Xenopus tropicalis: one gene and its partner. The protein of the gene in region 1 binds, or shares a complex with, the protein of each later gene. Links are inferred from orthologs where the notes say so. Each region holds a gene or a part of one and is shown on either strand. Other genes may lie near its edges. The genes, in order: prkg1 and cnn1.

Evidence for each region.
Region 2: prkg1 (region 1) and cnn1 share a complex: the UniProt entries of both Homo sapiens proteins name them as parts of the cGMP kinase signaling complex. The link is inferred for Xenopus tropicalis from reciprocal best matches to the Homo sapiens genes PRKG1 and CNN1.

The regions. Positions count from the first base shown.
Region 1 is NC_030683.2:13,398,567-13,402,979, forward strand, and holds the start of prkg1 (cGMP-dependent protein kinase 1), read left to right. Parts: upstream 1-1,373; 5' UTR 1,374-1,984; coding exon 1,985-2,292; intron 2,293-4,413. UniProt on the Homo sapiens protein: Serine/threonine protein kinase that acts as a key mediator of the nitric oxide (NO)/cGMP signaling pathway. GMP binding activates PRKG1, which phosphorylates serines and threonines on many cellular proteins.
Region 2 is NC_030679.2:139,382,139-139,385,740, forward strand, and holds part of cnn1 (calponin-1), read left to right. Parts: intron 1-383; exon of another isoform or gene 384-432; coding exon of another isoform or gene 433-474; intron 475-660; coding exon 661-782; intron 783-1,619; coding exon 1,620-1,686; intron 1,687-1,780; coding exon 1,781-1,918; intron 1,919-2,905; coding exon 2,906-3,016; intron 3,017-3,104; coding exon 3,105-3,251; intron 3,252-3,602. UniProt on the Homo sapiens protein: Thin filament-associated protein that is implicated in the regulation and modulation of smooth muscle contraction. It is capable of binding to actin, calmodulin and tropomyosin. The interaction of calponin with actin inhibits the actomyosin Mg-ATPase activity.

The DNA of each region.
Region 1 (4,413 bases):
CCCCCTACTGTAAATGATAAGGATATTAGCAGTCACTGAGGGGTTCTGTGCCCATATAAAGGCACAAGGCTGCAGGCTGAGTTATACAGGGAACTCTGAGTATCACTCATGTATTATAAGGGATAATGTACCCCCTACTGTAAATGATAAGGATATTAGAAATCACTGAGGGGTTCTGTGCCCATATAAAGGCACAAGGCTGCAGGCTGAGTTATACAGGGAACTCTGAGTATCACTCATGTATTATAAGGGATAATGTACCCCCTACTGTAAATGATAAGGATATTAGCAGTCACTGAGGGGTTCTGTGCCCCCCATATAAAGGCACAAGGCTGCAGGCTGAGTTATACAGGGAACTCTGAGTATCACTCATGTATTATAAGGGATAATGTACCCCCTACTGTAAATGATAAGGATATTAGCAGTCACTGAGGGGTTCTGTGCCCATATAAAGGCACAAGGCTGCAGGCTGAGTTATACAGGGAACTCTGAGTATCACTCATGTATTATAAGGGATAATGTACCCCCTACTGTAAATGATAAGGATATTAGCAGTCACTGAGGGGTTCTGTGCCCATATAAAGGCACAAGGCTGCAGGCTGAGTTATACAGGGAACTCTGAGTATCACTCATGTATTATAAGGGATAATGTACCCCCTACTGTAAATGATAAGGATATTAGAAGTCACCAAGGACTCACTGGACAATTGAGGGAAGTACCTTTACAATATCACAAAAAGTGGATGCTTTATTATTTCCATACACAACTGTCAGTGAGCCATAGACACTGTATAAATATGTGGAACCCCCACACATGTTTCAGGGGCTCCTCCAAAACTTCCTCTGATAAAAGTCCTTTTTAGACAGGACACCCCCTACTTTCTTCCCTCATTTAAAATGACAGTCCCCTTTCCCTTTTGCCCCTGACCAACTCAGCCCAAAAGCTTTGGGGCAATTGTAGTCTGCGACTGCCACTACTCTAATTATAAAGCGTGTGGCTTCTGGACCCTACTAATAATGAATCCTTTCCTGCTGGCTCCCTGCCTTGCTGCTGCTCATGTGCTTCTCTCTGTGTTACTAAGAATAATACAGTTGTGAGCAGCAGAGCAAGTGAGTGCCATGGTTAATAGGGTGCCTAGGTAACAGCAGCAGTCTAGGAAAGGGGTGAGAGGAGGCAGTGATGGGGTTAACAGGACCCCTGCAGCAGAGAGCAGACAGTGTGAGGGGCTGCAGATGATCAGCCCCAGCTCAGAGTACAAGGAGGAGCCCCTCTCTGCCCATGTTTATGTCTCTCCCCCTTTGCTTCCCCTTGCAATCCTGCAGCCAAGACTCCTCTGAAAGAGGGGAGGGGATTTTTTTTTTTGCCTTTTGCAGAGACCATGCATGCTAATGTTCCTCCCTGCCTCGGCTTCTGATTGCCGCTGCCTCTGTCGCACGTTGTAGCAGCCACACGCAACAGCTGAGCTTGGTGGACTCTCCAGGAGAAGACTTGTGTGGCCGAAACAGGAGCAAGAAGACTTCCAGGAACAGAGGAACGGACCTGTGGATTGGTTACAAGTGGGCTGCAATACAAACAGGGTCTTGGGGTTTATTTTTGGGCAGTGGGAGCAGTTTCTCATTGGATCTGGATGGTGAAAGCTTTAGCGCAAAGTTCGCCTTTATTTATGATGTCATGGCTTAAGGAGACCCTTTGTCCTGGATCATTCATTTGGGAGAACCCTAAAAGTTATCCGGGGTTGGGGAGCAACAACTGAGAGTAGAACCCACCCAGGTGTGGGGAGCAAAGTTGGATCTGACCAGCAGCCTCCCTTGGTTGGAGCGGAGACGCGTCTCCAAGACCAGGAGAAGTTGGACCTTCATTGCGCAAAGGAGCGCTTTGGGAGCGACCGAGAGGTTGTGGTGGTTCCTTCGGGCTGGGGGCTTGGAAGTGGCCGAGAAGACGACGAAAGGAGAAGGAAAGGCAGCCGTGGCCCCTGCCGGGAACATGGGCACTCTGAGGGACTTGCAGTACGCTCTGCAGGAGAAGATAGAGGAGCTCAGGCAGAGGGATGCGCTCATAGACGAACTGGAGCTGGAGTTGGATCAGAAGGATGAGCTGATCCAGAGGCTCCAGAACGAACTGGATAAGTACCGATCTGTCATCAAACCGGCCACCCAACAGGTTCACAAACAGAACCCCACCACTTTGGGGGAGCAGAGGACCAAGAGACAGGCTATTTCTGCAGAGCCAACTGCCATTGACATCCAAGAGCTGAGCCATGTCACTCTTCCCTTCTACCCCAAGAGCCCACAGTAAGCTGCAGCCTTGTGTAATTGTCCTATCCCTGTCTTTTTAACCCAATCTGTTGTTTTTATTTTTATTTTTTCTATTTTGTCTTTGTCCATCCACTTGTGTATTTTATATACAGACAGTCTCCTCCTGTACCTTCTGCTTTCCATTCTGTCCTCATCTTCTGAAATAATGTGTAACTAACACCTCTGTCTGCATCCATCTGTCTTGTGCCATGTCAAGGTATGTAAATATATATATACATATAAATATACAGTGTATATAGAGCTTGCTGTTGGTTTGCTGCCATTGCTGAAAGTAAAGTGGATTGTATTTATGTCTTGGGGGGTCAGTATAATTCTATATAGGGGGCAATTGCTGTACAATGTATGTGTAAAGGCATGGGGGAATTAGAATGATGTTCTGCAGATCTGCAAAGTGGTGGGGATGGGGGTTATTACAAAAAAAATGTCCTGCAATGTAGTGTTCCCTTTAAAATAAAGAGTCAGTCTACTTGCCCCCCTTGTTATTGAAATCCACCACTATGTATCTGTAGCCCCTAGGTGTTACTATCAGCCAGAGCACAGCCACCAGTATGGTAATGTCATAAAAGTTTCTACCAGGTCTAGTAACCCCTAGCGACCAGAATGGAAGAACCATTTCTCTGGTCGCCAGGTTGAAAGGGAAAAGCTTAACGGTTGCTATGGGTTACTAGACCTGGTGCAAGCATTCGAGTCCTGCCTGGTAGAACTTACCATGGAACTTTGCTGCCTGAGTAACTTGTGATTGGCTCTTCCAGCTGTTGAATGTCTTTATTCCGAAGCTTGGTCGGGGCAGAGAGGGGAATATATCCCCGACCATCACAGGTGTTGCACAGAGGATTCTGGGAGTTGTAGTTTGCAGGTTTGCCCTCTCTTGTTGGTTATACCCCCTCCCCCAAGGCTCCCTTTTCCCAGCACCCCACCATGGGGGATAGTGGGAGTTGTAGTTCTACCCATACCGGCTGCAGAGTTGCTGATCCCTGTGGGTATGATGGGAATCCAGCTCTCTCTCAGTAAAGCCATACATCTGTTTCACGCTGGGAACACGGATTCGGCGGCGCTTCTAGTTGCCTCCCGCTGGGAGTGTTTATGACAATGGCATTCAGGGCAATAGACGGATGGCACAGTCTCCTGGTCACGCACACAGCTCCTCGGGCAGCCGCCACTTGTATCTGTAAGTGTACGTACAGGTGCCAGCCATACTTTTTATTCATACCATGGACTCAGGAAATTGAAAATCCTTTCAGCAGAAGCTGGGGGTCTTGGCGCTTACAGGCTCCAATATAGAATCCTAGGGGGCTTCTACGATCAGTCTATGTTAACCTGGGCTTAATACTTACATTTATTGTGAAATTCTAGACTATAAACTGCAACGTGGTTGCTATAGACACTGACCTCAGCCTGGTTGCTATAGATGCTGACCTCAGCAACTGAGGAGCCTGAGTAAACAGGACCAAGATCATGTCGGAAAAAAGATCTGTAAGATTGGCAACCAAACCAGCCAAACCTGTATGTTTGACCTTTTTTTAGATGACACTGTCTGCAAAATATTTAGCTTTTAGGTATAGTTTCCCTTTAATCTGCTATGTTACAGGAGATACCCTGGTCCCAATGCCTGCCATTCACACACTATCTGTTTATAAGATCTTAAAGTGACAGAAACCTGAATGTCTGAGAAGCAGGTAGAACAAGAGGGAATAGCACCATACAACAGCAACAGAGGTTCTGCCCCAAGAGCTTACAATCTATATGTGAGAAGGGAAACTTACACCGATAACATTGTTGAGCAAATGCTCTGGGTGACAAAGGTTTAATCGTTCTTTTACTACTGACTTCAAACTATTGACTCCAATTCTGTATTTTATAGAACTTTTGGTTTAACCCTTTGGCTCCTTAACTAATTAGCCACTCCCCCTTCCTCCCAAGGCTTATGCTTCTCTGCTTATAATATGCAGCTGTTGGACCAGAGGAATGTTCTCTCTGGGGGGCTCAGCATGGAGGTCATTTGGGGTGAAATAGACTTGCAGGCACAGCATAGGGGCAAATATGATGATTATAACAGGAAGACTGATAGTCTATGCTGGTTTCAGGGTAGGACAGGGG
Region 2 (3,602 bases), on another chromosome or scaffold:
GCAGATAAGCTGCCCAATCGGTCTTAAGGGCCCAAATCAACAGCTGAAATCTGTGTATGGCCACCTTGTAGCCTAGGGAGGCAACCATTTGTTCTGATAAATCTGCTCATCTAGTGAACTTTGCACTATTTGGGTCATACACTGGGTCATATCAGGGCATATGAGTTCCATATGGAGAGAATCAAATCTACATTCAGATACAGTCCTCGTCAAAAACGATTTCCAAAATTGTTGTATAGACATCTGGTCTTTTTTTGGGCCAGATATGTTGGGCAGGCTGAGCAGCAGACTCCATACAGCAGCCAATAAGCTGCCAACTCAGCCTGTAGGGAGCTGGCAGCTTTTATCAGTCCATTTATGGTGAGCTGCACACATGTTGGCGAGCACAGAGGCAGGCAAACGTCTTCGTCTTGCTTTATAGAGGCACCAGAAATGCAGAAACTTCTGCCATCCGCTGGAAGACACAGGGAGCAGGTACCAGAGAATGGCACCCACGTCTATGGGAGGATTGAAGGGCAATTGTGGTGCCTCCATTACTGTCTAATGTCCTGAACTTCCAGTATTATAAATTCCATCCTTTTCTACTAGCGATTTGTGGCTAATGAACATGGACAATAAAGTGTCCAGTGGATCCTTAATAGTTGTCTCCTCTGATTCCAGTTGGCGCAGAAGTATGATGTACAGAAGGAGGCGGAGCTCAGAGAGTGGATAGAGGGCCTGACGGGAAGAACCATTGGGAAAGGCTTCATGGATTCTCTGAAAGATGGAATCATCCTGTGCGAGTAAGTTGGGGGGGCTAGCCAATAGGAAAGCTCGGTTTAATTCCCATGGCAGTTGCTAGCAAACAAAACAGGTTAATTTCACTGTGCCTTCAAGACCAAAACTACAAGCTTTGCGACATGGTTGGACGTCATGATAATATTATGGGATATAGATGGGGCAAAAATACTGCATTTGTTTCTGATTAGGCTAATCACTTCCTAGGTACAGAGTGGCACTAAGTTACCTTCCCTCAGGACATGCCCACCTACAGAACATCCCTCCTCCTATAGGAGGCCGTACACAGGTTGATTTGGTACGCTCTCCATTTATCCAATCAGACAGGGCCACACACGGCATGACTGCCTTTCTATTGTTACTATAGCTGGTGCAGTAGCTGATTTCACTGGCCATACATAGATCCTCTACAGAAGCCAAGATCCCACAGATTGCCCACCACCAAAGTGGTTTGACCAGTGGGTCAAATACAGTCAACATCCATGAAACATTTTGGTCCACAGAATACAAGGTTTCTTATCTCCAAATCCTTTCTCCAATATTGGCCAGGAGGTACGCGGTCACGTCCCAAAGGTTGGCACTGTACTGTGTGCTTTAAGCTTGAGAAATATAGGCCCGAAGGCTCAACAGGCAGATCATTGGCCACTTTGGTAACACCAATTATAACATGAGTTGTTTGGAACCATACCCATTAGGTAATACAGGTATATAGGTTCTCCTGGGAGTTAGACAACAAATAGAGGACTGCAGGTTTCCGTAGTGAATTCAATGTGGGGGCAAAACTGTTTCTATATTGTAATGGGGGGCAACTTAGCCTCACCTTCTCTGTCTCATTTCTCCAGGCTTATCAACAAACTCCAGCCTGGCACCGTTCGGAAGATCAACGAGGCGACCCAGAACTGGCACAAGGTGACCAGCAAATGGTTTTTCCTCACGGGACTGAGCAGCTCCGGGGAAAATGTTTTGAAATAATTATTAATTACCAATCTCTGTAACCTTCTAGTTGGAAAACATCGGAAATTTTATCAAAGGCATCACACAATACGGAGTGAAACCCCATGATATATTTGAGGCAAACGATCTCTTTGAGAACACCAACCTAACCCAAGTTCAATACACCCTGCTGGCATTAGCCAGTGTGGTAAGTATGTTGTGCCAGGCAACACTCTATCCAGGGCCGCCATTGGGGGGGGGGGAGAGGGGGAACAATTGTGCCGGGCCCCGTGAAATCTTCCAGGTGACACGAAAGTTATGTAAATTGTATAATTTACACTAAAACTTACACATAATTTACGTAACTTCCGCAAAAACTGCCTAGAAACTTAAGTAACTTGTGTATCAAGCTAAAGACAATGCAGAGAAGCTTTGCAGGGACAAACTCCACTGACCCCCAATGAATGAAAAACTTAAGGTAAATCCCACTGCCCCCAATGAACTGACTGACTGATTAGTTCATTATTAATTTTAACTATTTTTATCAACTGCTTATTATAGAGAAACATCAGCTGTTTATATTAGGAGATATTTACTGAATGATATCAGCATTTTCTACATTAAATTTCCAGCAGGAGAATAACTGGCTATTGGGCCCCACAACAACATCATTGGGCCCCTGCACTTACGCAATTTACTTAACTTTACTTTCTAAGAAACTTAAATAACTTATGTATAAACTCCACTGATCCCAATGAAAATACTGACTTATTAGCACATGAATCATGTTTACTATATTTATATACTACTACTGACTAGTTATTGGGCCCCACAGCAAAATCTTAACTTACTCAGTTTACGTAACTTGTGCAAACACTTACGTAACTTCCATATCAAAGCAACGAAAGCGCAGAGCAGAGGCAGGTAGGTGGGAAGGGGTTAATCTCAGGGCTAACTCCACTGCCCCCAATAAACTAAATGACTTATTAGCACATTAATCAGTGGAACTCTTCATATGAACGGCTTGTTATAGAGTAACATCAGCTGTTTATATTGCACACACAAGGGACATGGCCAAAATTTTGGTACTACGCACTTGTGTCCAATGGGGGCCCCAAAGTTTCTGAGGAGGCCCTGGCACTTGCGCACTTGGGCATGGCACCTACCCACCTTTCCAACACTGTGTATGTTTCAGGCCAAGACAAAAGGTGCCACAGTGGATATTGGAGTGAAATACGCTGACCGTCAGGAAAGGAAATACGACCTTGACAAACTCAAGGAGGGACGGAATATTATTGGGCTCCAGGTAAGTGGGCAAAACCACTACTGAACCCAACAGCGGCTTGTTGGTCACGTGACATTGTGCTGAAAATGTTTCTGCTCTTTATTGGCAGATGGGAACTAACAAGTATGCCAGCCAGAAAGGGATGACATCGTATGGTACTCGTAGGCACCTCTATGATCCCAAGCTGGCTAATGACCAACCACTTGACCAGGCAACAATCAGCCTGCAAATGGGCACCAATAAAGGAGCTTCCCAGGTGAGTAGATAGGAGCAGGGATTGACAACATCAGGCCATTAAACATTATACTGACAGACTGAGATCTCGGGGCATGTTTGGCATTTGTTACCACAAGATGTGGTTCTATTTCCCATCGTTTCCTGGACCCAATTCCAATAGCAGCTCTAATAGAGAATCAGCCGAAGAGAAGTGACGGGGAAGTGATCTTTGAGAAAATATGGAGAAGTAAGAAAGAATGAACTTAGTGGGGAATTACTAAATATAGTGGTAGTTAGGCAAAAAGGAGATGGTAAAACCAAGATGGCCGATGTCCGAAGGTGAATCATAGTAAAGTGGCCATAGACAGGCCAATAATCTGGTCCTTCTGGA